Linked DNA regions of Schizosaccharomyces pombe. The gene in region 3 interacts genetically with the main gene of each other region. Each region holds a gene or a part of one and is shown on either strand. Other genes may lie near its edges. The genes, in order: alp16, ypa1 and fin1.

What was found.
Region 1: mutations in fin1 (region 3) and alp16 together harm fitness more than expected from each alone (negative genetic interaction), as found in Schizosaccharomyces pombe (2 studies listed by BioGRID).
Region 2: mutations in fin1 (region 3) and ypa1 together harm fitness more than expected from each alone (negative genetic interaction), as found in Schizosaccharomyces pombe (2 studies listed by BioGRID).

What each region holds. Positions count from the first base shown.
Region 1 is NC_003421.2:432,793-436,550, forward strand, and holds the start of alp16 (gamma tubulin complex GCP6 subunit Alp16), read right to left. Parts: upstream 1,995-3,758; 5' UTR 1,883-1,994; coding exon 1-1,882. Other genes in the region: ribosome biogenesis protein Rix1, read right to left, coding at 3,145-3,758. UniProt on the Schizosaccharomyces pombe protein: Component of the gamma tubule complex that is required for the regulation of both interphase microtubules and mitotic bipolar spindles.
Region 2 is NC_003424.3:4,834,548-4,838,127, reverse strand, and holds ypa1 (type 2A protein phosphatase regulator), read right to left. Parts: upstream 1,934-3,580; 5' UTR 1,734-1,933; coding exon 861-1,733; exon of another isoform or gene 818-860; coding exon 713-817; 3' UTR 538-712; downstream 1-537. Other genes in the region: lip2 (lipoate-protein ligase), read left to right, coding at 1-478; trm7 (tRNA 2'-O-ribose methyltransferase), read left to right, coding at 2,183-2,206, 2,425-3,258. UniProt on the Schizosaccharomyces pombe protein: PPIases accelerate the folding of proteins. It catalyzes the cis-trans isomerization of proline imidic peptide bonds in oligopeptides.
Region 3 is NC_003424.3:1,352,547-1,356,304, reverse strand, and holds the start of fin1 (NIMA-like serine/threonine protein kinase Fin1), read right to left. Parts: upstream 2,085-3,758; 5' UTR 1,946-2,084; coding exon 1,886-1,945; intron 1,618-1,885; coding exon 1,594-1,617; intron 1,548-1,593; coding exon 1-1,547. Other genes in the region: nucleoporin Nup40, read left to right, coding at 2,646-2,881, 3,069-3,758. UniProt on the Schizosaccharomyces pombe protein: Promotes chromosome condensation and nuclear envelope dynamics during mitosis. Activity appears at metaphase-anaphase transition.

The DNA.
Region 1 (3,758 bases), on a different chromosome or scaffold from region 3:
CACCTATTACTTGGCATTGGAATTGTAAATCAGGGTACACATCCTCAAATTCACTAACGCTCGCAGAATCCAATGTAAAAGTTATACTCTTAGATAAAGACCTGCTCAACCCATTTTTTTCTTTTTCCATAAAAATGAATTTTTTCAATCGAGAAATAAAATTATATCTGTCATCAGAGTTCAAGTCCTCAGCCAACTCATTACGGTCAGATTTATCAAGCCTTCTTGATTTTAACAGAGAAATGACATTATCAGAGAATTCATAATTTTGAAAAAGAAAAGTGGAATGAAAAAAATTTAAAAGATCAAACACCTGAAAATCGTTTTTTAAAACTTTATATGTCGAACGTAAGAAACTGAGAATAAAAGATTGTATTGGCTCAGCAATACAGCAGCAAACATTCAAGTTAAGCGGACAGACGTTGCGCACATCATCTGTAAATTTAAGTTGTAATAAATTATCGTTGAAATCTGGAGTCATGTTCATTTTAGCAAGCAGCGTTTCAAATTCTTCACTGTCATTATTGACGGAAGTTTGTTCCAAATTACCAAAAGAAAGCGAAGAAAAGTTGCAGCGCTCCTCTATTACACAAGCTTGATTTATGTCGTTGAAAGAATATGCGAACCGAATGTTCAAAGGGTTAATAAATTCTTTGTTGTTTTTATTAAATATTTCTTTTTGTTCCCTTATTAATGACAAAAATTGAATACACTGTTCAATGCTTACACAAAGTTCAGAAGGAAAAAAACGGGGAAGTGATAAGAACAATGAAGAATCAATGTGACCATACGCACAAGAAACTTTTAAAGCAAGCTCAAGCCTTTTGAAGTAGGGATTTGAGCAATATATCAAGCACTGTAGGGCAATGGGGTAAGATATGGTATTCTGACATGAACGCGCATAATCAAAAAGAAAATCTAACAAGGAATCTCCTTTTAGGTTTTGAGCCGATTTTATTAAGAAGTGTGAAATTAACTCAAAGAATGAAGAAAAAGAATTAACAAAGTTACTTAAACCAATCAGACCGAATCTACGGAACTCATAAAGACGAAGCCAACGCTGAAACTCCTTTCGATACTGCAAGACACCATTCACAATGAAATTTGATAAATAAAAAGAAATGTTGGTCTTGTATAAAGAGAATTCATTTAAAGCTTTTTTTATTAAACCCCCAATTGCAGAAAATTTCTGGACGATACTAGCAAAACATTCATCGGACATTCCTGAAACGGAGATGGTCGGATCGAGTTCAAATGTGCTTGAGGTTTTGTTCCATGGAAACACTGTGCTTTCAAATCCTTGTGGTAAACCAGCCACGCAATTGAAAATAGTTGCTAAAGGGTAAACTTGCAGTGCAGAAAATAATGGTTTCGGACTCCAATCCTGATTATGAAGAAAATAATCATATACCCGAGAAGGCGCTTCAGATATGAATGGAGATCTAGCTTCTAAATTTTTAAAATTTTCTCCATCCCAGCTAGGGCATGTTAGCAGAACTTTGTTTTCGACAGATAAATCGCTGGGTGATGAATCTGTAAGATAAGAGGGGGACACTGAGGATTTAGCTCTTTTTCTTTCTGAAGTAATTTCCTTAGATGCGCTTATGAGTTTGGAATTGGATGATGTCTCACACCCAGGCACAGCGGGTGTTAGTTGTTGATTTGAAATATCGAGAATGACATCTTTTCCCAACAGATCATCGTTTACTTGAAATGAAAAGTTTTGAAAGTATTCCGAGGAGTCAAATAACTTCCTCTTCAATCCTTCTTTTCCCTCAAATTTCGAAAGCTGCTCGACAAAATCAGAATCAAATGAATTTGGCGTAAGGTCGAAAACGTGGTTGCCGAACCATAACAAGTCGTTTTTCATAATTCCATCCATTCCATTTTTATTTCAAAATCATCTATTTTAGTGGTACATTTCAAGATCCAACTCCTTTACTGGAAAACACTCTTGTTATGAATTACTAAAATTTGGCAATATGTGTGTAGTTAATGTATAATGTTGTTAACGTAGCGAATTAAGATGACTTCTTATCTAGAACAGTCAGGATTAGAAGATGTGAATGAAGTATGCGTCTCTTAAACTAAGAAATGGAACGTTAGTAATTGATCCTAACATTGAAACCAATTCAAAAATCCGTACTCTCGTGGCCGTACAACAGAAAATACTGACATGGAGTTAAAGGTATCCAGGATGAATAAAACAGAATGATAAATTGAACAAAAACTATCAGTTGTTAAGGAATTACTATTGCACAATTGCATAATCTATCCAAAACGACATTCCAGCATTTAATTTTAAGAGAGTGCTATGTGGATAAAACGTATCCTTTATGGAACTATAAGAGCTCTTTTATGCTTCTCTGGTTAGTACATTTAGATTTTTTTAAAAAAAAGTTTATTGTACTATTCGTGATATTATGGTTACAGTATACCTCGCTGGCTTGATCGTTTATTGTCCAGAGAGCTCGCATGCGAGTCAAAGCTGAATGAATGGTATCTTCATATAAAAAAAGTCTATTTGGAGAATTTTGGATCCTTCAACAAATTTATTTGAAGTACTTAATGTTCTTTCTTAATTTTTCTCATAAAACCATGTGTCAAGCAATGAAGGATTTAAATATTGTTGGCAAAAGAAATGTTGCAATCACTAATTCAAGTTTGTTTAGAAGCTTGCATTATATAGTTATCGACTTTTCTTTTGCCTTTGGAAAGGGATATCTTCATTATTCTTAATGAAACAGTATAAAATTCTTTTAAACACTAGACTAGATAAGTTGTTTTAATTCTTTCTCAAAAAACATAAACGACAGTCTAACTCTAAAATAATCGGGATTTTTGTGACACCAATGGTATAAAAATGATTAATTAAAAATTTTTGCGGATAACACAAGACTTTGTACTTTGTATTACTGGAAAATTTAGCTAATTAAAAAGGAGAACACATAAGCAATGTATTCTGGAGGTCAAAATCAATTGATTTTAACCTCCAAATATCAGCTTGATGTACCTTTTTTGCCATGACGATAATACATACAGGACTTTATAAAAATCAGCTTGGATTAAATGACAACCTACTTATCTAGAAATAGAATTTAAAATAAACATTCAGTACCCCCAAATCCTTTTTATAAATTAAGACTAACTATCACTATCAGATTCCAAGTTTATACTTGGCAAAGAGATATTGTCTTCCTCCTCATCATCTTCTCCGTTTCCTTCCACATTAATAGAAGTCGTTTTCTCATCTACGACATCCGTTGTTTTTTCAAAAGTTTCGACGACTGAAGAAGTTGTGTTTCCATTTTCATCACCATTTATGTTTTCAATTTGGCTTGAAACTACACTAGTAGGTCGGTCAACAAAGTCAACGTCTATAGCAGTAAATTTGGTTTCAGTGTCCTGAGAATTGTTTAATGCAACATTTGTAGTCTCCTCAACCTCAACATCTCCATGCAACAGTGAAACAGTTGTTTCCTTGTTTTCCGAAACAATGTTAATGTGATCAGTCCCGTGATTAATAGTTGAAGGTTGAGAAGAGTTGATTTCACTACCTTCTTCATTTCTGTCACCCTCATTAGAAAGAACATTAGACATAGTCAGCTCTGATTCGCTTCTTTTGTTCTCGGAGGTAGCTGTAGAATTATTCTGTAAGCCTGTATCTGTAGATGCAAAAGACTCTTTGATCCCTTCAATTTCAGTGGAATCTGTAATCGACTCTGTTTCAAAGGGAGGATTTGATGGAGCCAAAATAC
Region 2 (3,580 bases), 3.5 Mb from region 3:
AAGAAGGGAATCTTCAATTAATTTTACCAAAGGCTTCCCTAAGGCTAAAGTTGTTAAAGCATTGCGTGGTGGGCAAACTACATTTCATGGTCCTGGTCAAATACTTGCATATCCTATTATTGATTTGAAGTCCTTTGGATTAAGTCCACGTGAATATGTGTCAAGGCTAGAGCAAGCGATTATAGCAACATGTAAAAGCTTTGGCATCGAAAAAGCTCATACAACAAAAAACACCGGTGTGTGGGTAACAGAAAACGATAAAATTGCAGCAATTGGTATTCATTTACGCCGAAATATTACTAGTCATGGTCTTGCGCTCAATGTTAGTACGGATCTTAAGTATTTCAATTACATTGTGGGTTGCGGATTATATGGAAAAAACACTACCAGTTTTAAAGACCAAGGAGTTTTTACTGACTTAAAGTCTGTAGAGAAGGTACTGGTAAATAACCTTGATAGCTTTTTAATGAGTAAATAAATTTAAATGTATTAGAAACAGTATTACTTATAAAAAATATAATGCAATAACAGTAATGCTATTCTTGCGATAATTTGGTTTATTAAAAATTTTTTCAGTAAATTTGCGGGCTTTCCTTCCTTTTGGCCCCTATAAAATAGCTTATCAGCAACCATAAAAGATACAATAAATAAAACATAACATTAATAACAGTGACTATTTGTTTTTGAAATTGCACGAAAGATTAAAGTTAAACTACTTTGCAACTAAAGGGTTAAACGGAAAGAGATTTCCAAAATGAAAGTGTTGAACAACAGGATATTTGCTCAGCACTTCCACATCGTACATTTTTATCAATCCCTTGAAAGTAATTAGCTTAATAAATACACACTTCTTAACATACCTGATTGACCTTTGACCATATAGGAACAGCGGTTATATCATACAATATTGGGGAATGTTCGTAAAATGGGCCCTTTTTCATCACGTTTATAAACTTGATAGCACTAAAATACAAGTTGCTATTAGCTTTTTCATCCACTATTTTTTTGTTAAGTATAGCATCAGGCTTTATGATGGAAGATGATGCCTTATCAGCAAGTTGGGCAGAACCAAAAATATAAGGAATAAAAAAATGATCATCAAGCCCCCAAACTCCATGTGAGCCAGCAGGCTCTAAGCGATAAGTTTGAACGAGCTCACGACAAACTTCCAAGTAAACATGGGTTATGTACAAGGCGATAGCTTTATAATCTGCGGCATCTAAAAGTCCCAGCAAGTCCAAGCCCTTAATAAAACCCAAAAAATTTAACTCATGACCCGTACCAAAGTCAATTCTTTGAGAATTACCAAACGATCCCAAAAAATAGTCCAGTAACTCCACTTTTGCCTTACTCAATGAATCAGGAATAATGATGTCCATAATTTGAGAGGCGGAGTCACGTAGCTTTTCGTGCCATATTCGAAAAGCAGGATTACCAAACCGATGCCGACCTGATGCAGGTGGTACAGTTTTAGTAATTTCTTTAACTCTACACAATATTCGTACTAACTTTTCAACTCTTGTTGAGTATTCCACATGATAATCGTTCACACCCACAGATGCAATATTGAGACGCTGTAAAAAATCAAAAATTCGATAATATGCTTTCGATTGTCGAAACGCCGTCATATCGCTCGCCTCCACGATTAGTTTTTCGGGAGTTTTAAACTGTGAACTTTCATCAAACCTTTCATTTTCAAGCTCTAGTATTGTTTTCTCATCTACGACTTGCATTGTAAAGCAATAAACAATGAATCAATCAAGTTCGCGTATACGCCAATAGATTTACGACACTCACTAAGTTACAGGCTTTGATGAACGACTCTTTATTAAAAAAAACCAGGACCAAGTTAAAGAATATAACAGCAACTATAACAGCATTTAAAAACAGCTTGATATTGCTTTCATCAAGATAGAGTATAATAGCAGTATTCGAGAAGAAGCATTTAGCTTATTCAATAACTTGATTAAGATTAGTTTAACGATAATTAGTACTATGGATGTGATTATATCCTAAAATCTTTATAGTGATGTATCCATATGTTAATTCGAACCACTTCATAACAATACGCTACCGAAATAATTATCTCCTAATCAATATTTAACGATATGTTTATTCAATACAATCGATGCAAGAAACGAATATAATAATTTCAACCAGTTTTTACCAAACTGAAAAACAAATGGGGAGAAGCAGCAAAGATAAGGTATGTCTCGTGCGTTACTGAAACCTTGTAAATACTTAACTTTGTAGCGAAAAGTTTACGTTAATTTTATCGAAGTTATATCGTATATTAATGTGTAAACTTTAATGTTTCTCAGTCGCATATAGAAACATTTTAGTTTATTATTTCATTTTTTTTTTATTGCTAAATAATTATTTAACTATTTATTTTGTTAAAATACTAACTTTACACTTTTTTAGAGAGATGCCTATTATCGTCTGGCGAAGGAACAAGGGTGGAGAGCCCGCTCAGCTTTCAAATTGCTCCAATTAAACGAACAGTTCAATTTATTTGAAGGAGCAAAAAGAGTTGTAGACTTATGTGCTGCACCGGGGTCTTGGTCTCAAGTTTTGTCTCGTGAGTTACTCAAAAACATTGATACTTCCATTGCCGCAGATGAGAAACCTATGATTGTTGCTGTTGATCTTCAACCCATGGCACCAATCGATGGGGTATGCACCCTGCAATTAGACATTACTCATCCCAACACCCTTTCAATTATTTTGTCTCACTTTGGTAATGAACCGGCTGATCTCGTAGTTAGTGATGGTGCCCCAGATGTTACTGGTTTGCACGACCTAGATGAATATATTCAAGCACAGATATTGTTAGCTGCATTTAATTTAGCGGTTTGTGTTTTAAAGCCTGGTGGGAAATTTGTTGCAAAAATTTTTCGTGGACGAGATGTTTCACTGTTATACTCTCAGCTTCGTTTGATGTTTCGAAAAGTTTCTTGTGCTAAACCAAGAAGCTCTCGTGCTAGCTCTATCGAGTCCTTTGTCGTTTGTGAAGATTTTAACCCCCCTTCTAATTTTCAACCCGATTTAACAAAACCTTTATGTGTAATCGATCCAACCAATGCTCATGAGATTGCACCATTTATTGCATGTGGTGACCTTGATGGTTATGATGCGGACGCTACTTATCCCGTTGAAATAAATATGAAAAAGGCTACCTTAGACGTTATACAACCTCCAACCGCTCCTCCTTATAAACGAGCTATCGAATTGAAGCATAGCAAGATGATGTCGTAACCTATTATTCCAATTGTCTCTTTTTTATTTAATCTTTTCTTTCGTTTAATTTAGCAGTGGGTTTTACTATTGTATATTATATAGGTATAATCTATTTTTGAACCTATCATTCTTTTTTCATAAAAAAATTAAAGAAAGCAGGATGTGTTCGGTATACTTATAATCAGAATTTCCTCTTATGAATTTTTATCTAAATCAATTACTTTTGATACACACATGCTTTCGTTGAAAGACTTGCTAGTCATGTTTAACTTTATACCTTGCTATAGCAAATCATGGGGTTATGATTATAATTGTCATGTGGATATCATTTTCATAACTA
Region 3 (3,758 bases):
GATTCACCACTTGAAGCACTCACTGCCGTTTCATCGCTCTCTACGCTAAGTTTGCTAACTTTTCGATTTGGTAAACCTTCACCGTCTGAAAATTTATTACACAATTCAGAAGGGCTTAGCTTCTTTCCGTCCAAAGATGTGTGCAGCAACTTGTTCATGCAATCCGCCACTTGATTCGACGTGCCGTTTTTTTGCTGTAACGATGTAATTTGGCCATCTTTATCAATAGGTGTAGTCCTTAGAGATGACGCATTAGCTCTGTATTTCATTAATGTTGCAGTCGTATGTAAGGCTCTGCTTGATAATTCTTTACGGAGAGTAGGTCTTTTCAATATCGGTTGTTGTGTAGTTAGAGTGAAACCCGGACACGATAACGTTTGCAAGGGCTTGCTAATTCCTAACTTAGGAATATGAAGTAGGGGGGATTGTGATGCTTCAATTGTACAATCTACAAACATCTCAGCGGTACTGCTTTCAGGTTGTTCATTATGATCCACAGGACTTGTAACACGCATTTTCTGCATAGAGTTTACTACGGTTTGCATGTGTCTTTGATAACGAGCATCCATGTCACGCAGTTGCTTTTCCAACTCACGTCGCAATATCTCTTCACGTTGGGCTAAGCGAGAAGCTATAACGTTTTCGAGTTCACTTTCCCGAGCAGAAAGCCTTTGCTCGCGAAATTGGAGATCATTTTCCAATTGAATAAGCATCTGATGTTTTTTATGAAGCAAATCGCTTTGTTCCAAGACTACTCTCTCGGATTCCAATTTACTACGAATATCGGATAAAATAGGAGAGCGAAGTAGCTGGTAAGTAGTAGGTCTGAGGTCTGAATTAACTTCTAAGCAATGCCTGATTAGAAGGAAAACATCGTCGCTGTAATGATGATCCCAACAGGAGAGATTACCCTGGCAAATATTACGTTGCAATTCCAAATACGACCTTCCTTCAAAGGGATGCGTAAGCATGCAGATCTCAAAAATAACACAGCCAAGAGCCCAAACATCAGACTTCGCACTGTAAGGGCTGCTCCGAATTATTTCAGGAGACATATAGTATGGAGTTCCCACGTAACTCTGTGTGAAGACACGCGTATTGTCCAGCAATTTGGATAAACCAAAGTCTCCTAACTTAACTGAATTATTTTCATCAAGAAATATATTCGCAGGTTTGATATCTCGATGCAATACAGATTGTTTAGGATGAAAAATTTCTCTTGGCCACTGTGAGTCACAAGCAGGCGCATTTTCTCCATAATGGCAGCGATACAGAGCAAGTAGTAATTGCGTAAAAAATTTGAGAACCTCTTGCTCGGTAAATCTCTTTTTCTCTTCTTTATAACGTTGAATAAGATTGGCTAAATCACCATGACCACAATATTCCATATAAAGGTTTATTACCTGCGCAGAACGATTCAATTCTTCTCCGCAGTATTGAACAATATTTGGATGCTTAAGATTACGAAGAATATTCACTTCATCTGCGATGTACTGCTTTTCCTGCCGAGTAATGTTACCAAAGTGTATTTCCTTCTGAGCCAAAAGCTAAAAAGTATTAATAACTATAAAAATAAATTGCTTTCAAACTTACAGCACCATCCTTTAAGCGTTGAACCTATAATAGTTAGCATAATGCATAAAAAAGGAGTTGCAAAAAAAAATATCGATCAAAGTTTCAATTTGAAAAACTGTTTTGAATAGAGTACAAACAATAGCGAAAAGCATTTAAATCAATATAGTTTCCCTGTTTCTTAAGAAAACAATTGATTCAATGCTATAGATTCATTTGCCAACCACAAGTAGTTGCTCGCAAATAAACTGAAAACAAGAAAGAATTTTGCTATCCAATAACCAATTTCAGTGAAAATAAGATTAAAACTTACTTTATAAATCCTTCCAAAACTCCCATGTCCAATACACTCAAGAATCTTGTATTTTTCCATACTTCAGAACAGAAGTAGCCCATGAGATTCAGGTAAGCTTAAAATAAAACTAAATTTCTCGGTAGGACCTTTAAAGAAAAAGAAAAATTCTTCTATCAATTAATAATATAAAAAATACTGCTTGGAGTGATTGAGTGCTAAGTATATGAATTTCAAGCCAAGATGTTTATGTTTGGTTCTTCTGCAGTGTCTCGTTAAATCATCAAGTGTAAACAATGTTGCCATGGTTAGGAGTAACACTGTTACTTCAGGTGCTTATTGCTACGATTATAATATATATCCAGTCGCATTTTAATTTCTGTAAGAAAAAGATACGCTATTCAATAAGCAATGAGAAAAAGTTGTGGAGAATTTTTATCATCTATAATGCCTTTTATGACATGATTGTATAAGGTTTGTTGTAAATGAGCTTGGAATTTAACAGAGTCCTTTAAATCAAGTTTTAAAAAAATGAATAGCTAAACGTATTAATATTAGTTTGAGGCTTTCAAAAGATTTATCTGCATGTTTTATAAAAATCAATAGCATTAACAATAAACTGTTATTTTGCGTTAATTGGTTTTAGTGATCTACGCTAGGCTTCATGATTCATTCCATGCAAGCCATCTCCTTCAAATGAACTTACCGCTAATTTATATACGTTGCAAAACATATGTTACACAACAGTCTATCACAAGACTCTAGTAATATTGCCGGAAACATGTCTTTTGGGGGAAGTGGTTCTATCACGAATCGATCAACCTTAAAGCCACTTTCTGTCGATGATTTACGTTCGCCCTCTCCTCAAAAAGAATATCGTGGATTTCGAACATCTGTTTCTAACATTCCACAAGAAAAAAAATTTGTTCCCAGTCATCTTTCACACTTTGGATCAAGTCAGCAGCGTCGATTTGCCCCAGAGGTTAGCTCGCCTTTAGCAGAACCATATGAGTCATCGTAAGTAATTTCTTTGAAGAGTTTAAGGGACATTTGAAGACGGAGGATTAAAAAATTGTTTAGTATAATTGCTTTTTTACCTAATATCTATCTATATCCAAATTTGTTAGAGCTTCAGCCTAATCCCTATGAATTTTTAAATATTAGACATAAACTCTTAGAACCTTTACTAATTTTCTCTAAATAGCTCTTCCTTCCGTTTATCTCTCTCGAGTCCCCCTTCTTCAAAATTCGGCGGACCCAGCTTTGGTACACCGAAACCGTTTTTGCATACAAATCGTTTAGGTACCGGATCTTTAATTGAAGATGCTCCTCCTACTCAATCCATTTATGACTTTTCTTCCTCTAGGCAAATTAATGCTCTCAATGTTGGACAAAGTTCTTCCCCTTTTTCTCCTGTCTCTGAAAAGGTATACGACCCTTCTTTTACCATGTCTGGCGCTCCTCAAGATTCAAATACCTCCGTTATCGTTTTCGGTTTCCCACCAGAATTGACAAATCAAGTAATAGCTGAATTTTCTCGTTTTGGAACTATTATTAGCGAGAATTCATTAACTGCTTCAAGTGCCGGATTCACTCCCTCCAAGGGTCCCATATCTGGTAACTGGCTACAATTAACATATGCTGAGCCTTCTTCTGCTGCCAAAGCAGTTTTGTCTAACGGAATGTTGATAAATGACTCTTTTATGGTTGGATGTATATACAGCCCCGCAGAAGCGAAGGAGCATGTTCCGAAAACGTTAAGAAACAGCAATAAAGACTTGGAAATGACGGATGCCTCTTCCTCCGAAACCTCAATGTCTATTCCCGTGCATGCTGATGCCCATTTCCAATCCCAATCTGGTCTTGGTAAAAAAGTCATTGTTCAACACAAAAA